2 linked regions of the Arabidopsis thaliana genome follow. The protein of the gene in region 2 interacts with the protein of the main gene of each other region in a pairwise test. Each region holds a gene or a part of one and is shown on either strand. Other genes may lie near its edges. The genes, in order: AT1G68185 and AT4G18670.

The links.
Region 1: the proteins of AT4G18670 (region 2) and AT1G68185 interact in a two-hybrid assay, tested with the Arabidopsis thaliana proteins (one study listed by BioGRID).

What each region holds. Positions count from the first base shown.
Region 1 is NC_003070.9:25,554,357-25,559,321, reverse strand, and holds AT1G68185 (Ubiquitin-like superfamily protein), read right to left. Parts: upstream 2,940-4,965; 5' UTR 2,919-2,939; coding exon 2,778-2,918; intron 2,664-2,777; coding exon 2,588-2,663; intron 2,500-2,587; coding exon 2,441-2,499; intron 2,247-2,440; coding exon 2,116-2,246; intron 1,980-2,115; coding exon 1,769-1,979; intron 1,317-1,768; coding exon 1,149-1,316; 3' UTR 1,142-1,148; exon of another isoform or gene 1,056-1,141; 3' UTR 789-1,055; downstream 1-788. Other genes in the region: BBX27 (B-box zinc finger family protein), read right to left, coding at 31-102; AT1G68180 (RING/U-box superfamily protein), read right to left, coding at 3,697-3,719, 3,822-4,506.
Region 2 is NC_003075.7:10,274,679-10,280,355, forward strand, and holds AT4G18670 (Leucine-rich repeat (LRR) family protein), read right to left. Parts: upstream 4,117-5,677; 5' UTR 3,814-4,116; coding exon 1,240-3,813; 3' UTR 784-1,239; downstream 1-783. UniProt on the Arabidopsis thaliana protein: Modulates cell morphogenesis by regulating cell wall formation and assembly, and/or growth polarization.

The sequences.
Region 1 (4,965 bases), on a different chromosome or scaffold from region 2:
TCGAACAAAAAGAGAAGAATAAGTTTTTACCGATAAGAGAACTAAAAAGATCAGAGATTGGTGACAAAAGCTTCTTCTGTCTGTTTTTAGGAGCTTTTTCATATTATCTGAACAAATCCGTCGGTTTGGTTAGGATGACGTGGCAAAGCCACGTAGATATTTGGGTGGGGACTTAGAAAAAATGGTGATTACGTTATCCGTATGCACGTGAGATATGGGGAAGCCACGGACGTATGTGCCACTGTGACAGCTTCTTCTTTCACGACCCATCATCTCTAACTCTTAAAGCTTAGCTTTTCCTAACCAATTATTGTATGCCACATGTCGTAGCTAACTCCGGACCAAACAAAAACTACAATTATCCGACTTGGTTAGTTCGTTAATTGGTTTTATTATTTTTCACATGAACTAAAACACATAAATAGTACTTGAATGTGTTAATTCTTATAATTTTACATTTTTAAGAATTTTATTAATGACTAATGTGATGTTTTCTTTTCTATCAAGATTATATTAAAAGCTAATGTTACAAAACAAGAAATATTAGAGTCATGAGACTATATTTGAATATAAAAAATATCAGTGTAAAACGACATTTACTAAGAAACAAAGGAAAAAGTACACTAAACCGAATTTAACCGATTTACCATTGATTCCAGTTTTTGTCAGTTAGTAAAAAGCAATACTGATTATACATACAATAGTTTTAGTTTTGTCTTAGATTAGTGAGATATATATTTATGTTTCTCAAGAGATAGAGAAAGCATAACGATTAAAACCAAACAAAAGTTTAGTTAGATTTTTAGATTGGATTCAATAGGATTAGTTAAAATCAAAATGGTTTGGTTTACCTTATATATTATACACGCCTAATAAAGAGTGACAGAAAGAGTGAAAGAAAGAAAGAAACAAAATTCCGATAAAATGAGAAAGGTCACAGATACAAACACCAGATGTTAGCAGAGAGATCCCTTCCCATGCCCATGTTGATGTACAAAACTCTGGTTTTTCGCAAAAGATGGAACAGATTTGACATTCCAGATTCCGATTAGCGCCTGACTTGAATTCAATCGAAGATAATGAGTTATCATCATATCACAATAAGAGCAAGAAGAAAGATGTGGAGGACTTCATAAGTTACCTATTTGTCAAGTTTTTTTGGTGTGCACTTCAATCATATCATGATCCTCCATGCCAAGTTCAGAAGGAGTGGTTGATGGATCAATCTTATCACCGTCAAAAATAAATACAAGATTTTGCGGGTCAAGCTTAGCTTTATCTGTATACAGTTTGATAACCCTCTCAAATTTCTCGTCCTACAAGAAAATGGTAAATACCAAATCAACATTCTCATATTTTACAAGCTTTAACAGAATATGCATATCTATTAATGAGCGGCTCATTGTATGACAGAGAGCAAGCAATATGTATTCTGTGTGTAAATGCTATGTGGTGATGATACATTGATAAGAACATGAACTCGTTCTCTAGTTTATTAGATGAACTCAAAGAATAGTTTAAAGATCCATCAACTAATACACGTCTCAAATACTCGACCCCATTCAATGATTTCTTTAATCCCTGTATTTATACTCTTGCTTTCCTAGAAAGCTCGAAATATCTAGCTATCTAGATAGTAGCGAAGGTGACATAACAACTAATTCTTATCTCTACTAAATATCTAGTATCTAGCTAGAAAAAGTTTGGATAGTAAGCTTATTGTCGATGGAAGGTTGGATAGTAAGTGGCAAGCAGTGAAAAAACTTACCGCAAACACCCGGAGTGTCTTCTGTCCATCTTTGTCCTGTATTGTAATAACAATCTTGGCCCTGTCATTCGTAGGCTCTGATGGTAACTGAGCAGCAGTCTCTGAAGATGGATTGCGAGATTCTTCAACTTCCCTTTTAGCAGACTCCTCAACTTCCTGCATCACATCTCCTACAGTTTTTGTAAATGACATGAGCTCCATCTTCTTCGACCTACGTTACATATTTCATTTATAATCAAATTGTAACACTGGGACTCTTTCCGGATAGCAAATAACACTACCATAGCCTCTAACAGCAACATGGGAAGCTTAGAGATGAGAAATACTCAAAGACATACAAAAGTTACCTCAATGCTTTAATAGTTGAATCTTCAACAGAGTCTTTACTTTTGTCGAAGATAACCTTTGGTGGAGGAAGCAACCAATCGTCATCACCCGTAACTTCAATCACTTTCACATCATCATCTAACTTCTCAACCTATATAAAAAGATTCAAGTTCCAAAAGGAATGATGATAGATTCAACCTATGAATTGTGAAGTACATAATCGAATTGTTCCTTCACTGACATTGATTCAAAACTCTTTACAAGCCCACAATACCAAAAGTATCTATCAAGTTAACACAAAGAGCTCAATGAGACAACAACCAATCAATAAAAATCAATTCTTACTGTTTGTGAAGTTTTCGCTTTCTTCGGAATTGGCGTCACCGAGGCATCATCATCATCATCTACAAAAATTCAAGCGATAATAAAGGATTCATCTTTATCACTGTCGAGTGTCGAGCTCAGTGACCAAATCAAATAATCGAAACTCACCATCGATACAAACGAAATTCGCTGGCTGAACACGACGATAATCAAAAAGTGGCTCTAGATCTTCTCCTTCACCTCCCTGATCATCAATCAGTAATACAAATTCAGAAAAACTCAGGCATCAACACAATCCCACAACAGACAAAATTAGGGTTTTAAAAATTGGGGTATTGGGAATTCATAAAATTCTCACCATTGTTAGCGAATTTGGATCTTCTTCGTCTGTTTTATCAGAAACCCTAGATGAATTTGGACAGATTTTGAATTTGAATATTATTTTGCTGTGATTTTTGAAAAGACAAAAGTGATTTTGAATTTTGATGAAGAGAGGCATCGGCGATTAAGAAGCACCTCTTGGGTTTATTATTTGTTTGTTGGGCCTGTTTAGTGGGCCGAGTTTTCATTGGTTATCACACTTTTTTTTCAGATTGGTTTAATTGGGTTGGGTGACCATCATAGTTGATTGCGTATTTGTCATTTGAGATCTGTTGTACTTTAGTAGAATTTTGTTGGTATTTTTGAATGCATGACAATAAAAGATGGTACAACAAGACTCATCCTAAGTCTTTAGTAGAGAAGTCCATGGGAAGCTCTACATGAAGGTTATAGTAAACCAAACCGAGAAGGCACAAACTCGGCTTTACAAAATCAGGCCAAAAATAAGATAACCGGCAAATAAAAAGGGTTGGTGAGGCTATTCAAACCATACCTAAGTAAATTGTGTTCGATGATCACGAGAGAGAAAGAAACAAAGAAAGGGAGACAAAGCGTTTTCAGAGACTATGAGAGATCATGGAACCCTAGCTAGTAGAGTAGAGGACTAACCTTATTACCAAGATTTTTTATTTACATGTTGTTACAACTTACAAATGAATAAAAGATAATTAATGCAAATATAGTCTTGTTAATGCCAAAGTTTTGTTTCATGAAATAAACACGCTTCTAGCCTTTCATGATCACCCTCTTTGTCTCTTTATGTAGTTTTTTTTTGTCGTTTCTTATTGATGTGTGTTTCTTCTCCTCTCTCTCATAAGTCATAATACACTTAATATGTAGTCAATAATATTCCTAGTTTCATACATTCTTGTTTGCAATTCTTTAATTTTTTTTTGTCAAGAGTTTGTTATTCTTATATCTGCGAAATTGTATATATTTTTAAGAGTTAAATATCATAGTCAAAACCCGTATAAGCATAATAGAAAAGCCATGAAAGCTATATCGGGAGGTGGAATCTTACCTATGAGATTATGTACCCAATCAATCATCATTCGGAGAGGCCACAAAGAACAAACCCGAGTCCGAAACCGATTTGATCGATCATTGTCGATGTTGTAAGACCCTCCTTCGTCTACGTTACTCTCGGAAACACCTAAGTTAACCTCAAAACGACAAATGGGACAAGTGTTGTGAATGTTCAACCAAGACACAATGCAGCTTGAATGGTACAAATGCAAGCATTTCAATTCTTTTCCTTCCTCTCCAACTTCAAATTCCTCCTTGCATATCGCACAAACCTTCTCTTTCACCAAATCTTCATCCGTGATTATCACCGTCCTTACAGCCTCGATGGCGGATTGCGAGGCTGGTGGTGGACCGATTTGTACACTAGGCATGACATCAGCGAATTCCTCGTCAGTATTATAAACTAGATCATCATGATTGAACCGGTTACTTCTTGGTTCGTTGATAAGATGGAGAGTGATCCAATCGGTATCACTATCCCAATAAGGTCGGCTTGGCCTCATAATGTCAAGCTCATCGTGAAGATTGATCTCTCTAGAACAGAAAGGACATATGGGACCATATAGACCAAAGCTTCTTAGCCTAATGGTACGGCTACAATGGCGACAATAGAAGTAATGGAACGTTCTTGTTCTTCTTGTTCCATTCACAATAACTCTTGGACGATAAGCAGATGTCATGTTTTCAATCTTTTTATTTTTTCGTCGGTAGGATCTTTATATATGCATTTATAATTAAATACGTGTACATGTTTTCAAGAAGAGGCAAGACAAAGCCTATACGAGTGAATGAGTTATTCTTTTCTGTGTTTAGGTTGGTGTCGTATGGTCTCTGCTATGTCAACTTGCGAATCTTTTAGTGATTTGTCTTGTAGGAATCAGAGATTCAAAAGGATGCTTGGAGAATCAATTACGATAAAGGGTTTTAGGTTTGGAGGAGAGTTATTTGAGCGGCCCATTATGGGCCCATTCCAACTTACTAGTTCATGTACATATTGTATGACTCAGAAGTGAAATTAATTAGACCCAAATAAGATTTTACAATTTATTATTGCTCGTTAAAAAAAATCCATGCAACATCTTATGAAGTTGTGGATGTGGTAGTACAAAGGTCATATGCACATAATAACTTACATAGAT
Region 2 (5,677 bases):
TAATTAAAGCTTTATTTTGCAATTTTTTATTTTAATTTTTTGGTTAAAACTAAACTAACCATAAAGTTATGTTTTGGAAGTTTAGATATTTCCCTTTTGGATTTAGATAATCAGTATCACTCTGAGTCACATCATTTACTGGACAACTTTAAACAAGAAAAATAGAGTAGCTTATGATTTCAACACGAATGGTAAAGTAAATAAAAATGAAACATTTCACGCATAATGTTTCTCTATCGTGACTTTGTCGGCAGGCAAGGACAGTTCTCACATCACTACCAAAAAAAAAAGGACAGTTTTCAGTTCTCACATCCCCAACACAGTTTAAAAGCCAAAATTCAAAATTTCACCCATTTTTCCTTTCAAATACCGATTTTATATAAGAATATTTTTGTATAAACAATTTCCTAATTATTTACGAAGTACAAATCTAAAGCTAAATTACAAACATATAGTACTACAATAATATAAAAATTAAAATAATAAAAATGAAAGCGGCAATCAAGGATCCGATATAAATTCCAACAGCAAAGTAGTCAGTCAGGTGGTGCTGGGCACATGTGACATTGGCCCTACTTGGCTTTGCTTCATCCAAAACTATGCATTTCATGCTGGACCGGATTCAATTATGTTTCTTTTTCTTACTTTATACCGATTTCACACTCACAGTCTCTCACACACAAGTCTCGTGCATGAACCAGAATAATTGAGAACAAAAAAATAATATACATATAGTTTATTTGGAGTTTCTGATATATCAAAAATATAAAACTAAAAGACGCTAACATAGGCAAAAAGTTGCAGTAATTAAATAAGGAAATACAAAAAAGATAATTTCATATATGAGAAGAAAAAGATAACCAGAAAGAAAAAACACAAAAAATGAAGTAACAATGATAAAGTTTAATAAAAAAAACAATGATAATTATTTAAGAACACTAATAAGAAATATAAGGAGCATAAATATGAGGTTGCTCCATATTTTAATTAATCTATTTATACAACTTTTCCCTGAAAAACGCCTAATTTTCTTCTTTTTAAAATTTTGTTCACCGAAATAAATCTTTCGGAGAATACCCAACCACCAACACGTACATCTCTCTCCAAGAAATGGTCAAACGACGCCGTGTTACATGTTTCTATCAATCGGATAAGTGTTATTGACACGACACGACACCGTTTCGTTTTCGGGTTTTGGCATAAGTGGTGGGCCCCTTTTGAGAACATTCTGAAAAAGAATCAATAGAAGGGAGGCGGCGGAGGAGATGCGTATGATATTCCGGGAATCGGCGGTAGTGGCCCTTCGTAGATTGGAGGTGGTGGTGGTTGGCTGTGGTGTATTACCGGTGGAGGTGGTGGGCTGTAGTGGACAGCCGGTGGAGGTGGAGGTGAATTGTAGTAGTAAACTGGTGGTGAAGGCGGAGGACTGTAGTGCGCCGGTGATGGTGGTGGTGGAGGATTATAATGGACTGTTGGAGGTGGAGGTGGTGAGTATTCTATGCACGGTGGATGTGATTGTGGCGGAGGGGAGTGTATTGGCGTTGGTGGAGGTGGTGGGGATATATAGTGATAAGTAGGGGTTGGTGGTGGTAATGAGTAATGTGGCGGCGGCGGTGGTTGTGGTGAGCTGTAGTAGTAAGGGGCTGGTGGTGGTGGGGATGCAAATTGAGGCGGTGACGGCAAGTAAGGTATAGGGGAAGGAGGGGGAGTGCCGTAAATTGGAGATTGCGGGGGTTGTGATGGAGATGGTTGCGGTGGATAGTATGTTTGCGGCGGAGGAGGTGGCGGTGGCGGGAAGGGAGAATATGTCTGAGGCGGTGGTGGAGGTATTGATGGGGAAGGTGAGAAAGTTGGGGGAGGAGGAGGTGGTGGGGATGGAGGAGAGTACCCTGTAAACGGCGGGGGAGGAGGGTACCCTGTAGACGGCGGGGGAGGAGAGTAAACCGGAGTAGGTGTTGACGGCGGAGGAGACGATGGAGTCGGGCCTACAATGGGAGGACTAGGAATAACAGGCGGTAAAGGAGGACTAGGTGACGACGGCGGAGAAGGGCCGGTGAACGGTGGACTAGGAATAATAGGCGGTGAATTTTGACCAGGTGATATCGGAGTTGGCGGAGTTGATGGCGTAGGAGGACTAGGAATAGGAGAGCTCGGAGTTGGACTAGATGGCGAAGGAGGAGAACCAGGAGATGTTGGGGTTGACGGAGGAGACGGGACAGTGATCGGAGGACTAGGAGAAATAGACGGTGAAGGAGGAGAACCACCGGGAGAAGGTGTTGTCGGCGATGATGGAGGAGAACCACCAGGAGTAGGTGTCGTCGGCGATGATGGAGGAGAACCACCAGGAGTTGGTGTCGTCGGCGATGATGGAGGAGAACCACCAGGAGTAGGTGTCGTCGGCGATGTAGGAGGAGAACCAGGAGATGGCGTAGTTGAAGGAGGAGACGGGACAATAGACGGTGAAGGAGGAGAACCACCAGGAGATGGAGTTGTCGGCGGTGACGGGACAGTGATCGGTGGACTAGGAGAAATAGAAGGCGAAGGAGGAGAACCACCCGGAGACGGAGTTGTAGGCGGTGATGGGACAACAACTGGAGGCCGAGTAGAACGACCACATCCAAAGGAACCACAATCCACCGGCGGAAGAGAAGAGAAAGCCGCACATTGCCCTGGTGATCTCTGCGCAGGTCTCGCCGGCAAACAATTCCGCCGATCATCAAACCCAGGCAACCCAAGACAAACCGGCGGCTCTCCAGTGAAGAAATTATAACTGAAAGTGAAATTCTCCAACCTCGGCAACTGACAAATAGTCGCCGGAATCTTACCAGAGAATCTATTATGCGCCACATTTAACTGCTCCATCGAAACCATCCCGCCAATACTCGCCGGTAACGACCCAACAAGTTCGTTAAAACTGAAATCAAATACCGTTACGTTTTTCAACCGTCCGATCTGCGACGGTAAACAAGAATTAAACCCATTTTCCATGAAGATGATCTCTTCAAGATTCCTCATATCACCCAAACTCGTCGGAATACAACCGTGGAAATGATTATTCGCCACAACAATAACGGAAACCGGAGAATCTCCCAAATTATCCGGTAACTCAAACCGGAACCGGTTATGGTTGATAAAAATCGCATCAAGATCTTTGCTGAAGAGCTCTCTTGGTACAGGTCCTTCGAATTCGTTAAACCTTAGATCCAGAAACTTCAACGACGGTAACTGAAGGACAACAGTAGGGAATATTCCGGCGAACCGGTTATTACTGAGATCAAGCTCGAATAAAAGCTTAAGACGGTTAAACCGATGCGGTACGGTTCCACAAAACCGGTTTGAATTAATATGAAACAAAGCGAGATCTGTTAACAAACCAAGCTCTTGAGGTAGATAACCAGCAATGTCAGCGTGGTTTAGATCTATTCCGGCGACGGTACGGATCCGGCGGTTATCTAAAGCCGGAGCACAGTAAACGCCGGTGTAACTGCAAACATCAGAACCGATCCAGTTTGTTGTGAAGTTGTTTGGATCAGAGAGAATAGCTTGTTTCCAAGCTTGAAGAGCTATGTAAGCATTTCGAAGTCGTGGATTCTCGAAGACTAGAGATGGGTCAACGTCGACATTCTCGCCGCGGTCGCCGAACTCGTCGCGGAAGTAGAGAAGTTGACGTTGTGTGATTAGCCGGACTTCATTGTCGGAGAGATCTCCATTGAAAGTAAGTGAAAGAGAGTAAGAGATACTTGTGAAGAAGAAGGTGATAAAAAGAAGAACAAAGATCAGAGACGTGTTCTTCATCATCATCTTCGTCTTCATTACTTCACATAACAAGACATCAGTGGATTTGAAGGAAGAAGAAGGGTAAAATGGGAAATGTAAGTGAGAATCTCTATAAGTGAAGAAGTAATGTGTGAAGAGGGAATTATAAGTGAGAGAGAGACAGGTCTTTGCACAGCTCAGCCCTATTCATATACTCTTCACTTATTATAACACTGTCTGTTTTACACTGTCAAAAGTGTAATGTTAATTAATTGATGTGTGTCCATGAATTACCTAACAATTATATAAATGTATGATCGACTTTTTGGTTTCTTTTTTGAACTAATCACATGATTGATTATATACGTTACAAATTATAATTGTTTAATGATTTTGGTCAACACTAAAGTTTTGATTAGAGACAATTTACATTGCTCTAGGCATTAGGTAGTTAATTTTGTTTAGCATCATTTCAACTATTAATTATTACTTGCTGATATTGGAAACCTTTTGTGATTAGCCATACATTTGGATTAAATTTTGGTAAAGACTTGTTAATAATTTTGTTTGCATCATGAACTATTCCAATACAACGATTAGTTGCATTGGAAAACATTTATATCTACTAATAATTTTTTGATCAAAGTTTGGTAAATACTACTTGTTACTAATAGGCCATCACACGGTTTTTAATATAAGCATATCCATAATGATGCTTGTGTACAATTTGAATCAGAATATCTAACCGAAGCCAAAAAAAAAGAGCTCCATTGTTAAAAGTTCTCATTTAAAAGAAATTTGAATCTAAATGAACTCAATTATCGTTATCTCTCGCTTGACATGGATTATCAATGTTGTTAAAGCCCATAAAATGAAAATGTTGCTGTGCTTTGTATTTTACAGCTATCATGTCAAACAGTAAGTTAAATGAATTAGTTGAAACTCGTAACTCACGTGTATTCATTTTTTTCTTTTGAGGTGTCACTACTCACTAGTCCAAAACATAAATAAAGTTCAACAGTTAACTGTTCTTATGTCGGAATTGTCTTAAAACGACATGACCCACAGTAATAATATACCTTTATATTTCTCTATATATATTGGATCGACAGAATATGAAATAATGTTTATATTTACCCTTGATGTTATTGCGATTGTCTATAATATAAATTTAAATGCTAAGTTTTTTTTGTATATATGGAATAATGGTTTGCTTCAGTCTTTGTAATTTATAAATTTATAAATTGTGCCAAATGTTTGGCAAAAAACATAAATAATGTGCCAAGTATATTATTTTATGGCGAGTGATTCAATTCATTTTTTATATTTTGTTCCATCCTCTTCTTATACCTTTGCTTGCAAATATGAAAATATGAACTATAATGTGTTATCAATCAGATGTTCCAGTTCATGTAGAGTTGTAGACGCATATAAATTTGGTTTTCTTGATTCATAAATGATTTACGATAAATCATAACAAGTTAAAGTGTTTACATTTATAGATTGGATACTAGTAAGCTGATAAGCTGAGGTTTGAGACACTTAGGAAGATCGTGGGTGTTGTTACGCCGGTTCAAGCGGCATAGTATTTGCTCGCCGAGTAAAGATTAAACTTGTCGTTGCAAGAGTGGGGAAGAGTTAGAGAAAGGCGTGGGTGTGCACGTGGGGAGGATGCAACCGCCGCAAGAGGCGGAGCCGGGAAGTCAAACTTAACCACTTGTTGATGTGAGTACGTGAGTTTGAGGTACGTATAGTAGATAATCTTTTTGTAATATTGTCTAAGTAGAGAAGAGATCATGTTAGGTGTCTTAATGTGTATACGAGAGTGAGACGTAGTAGTAGAGTACCACTACCGACATGATGCATGCCTAAGCTTTTGCTGTTGTCGTCTTATACACATAAGGAATAACAAAAGCTCCAA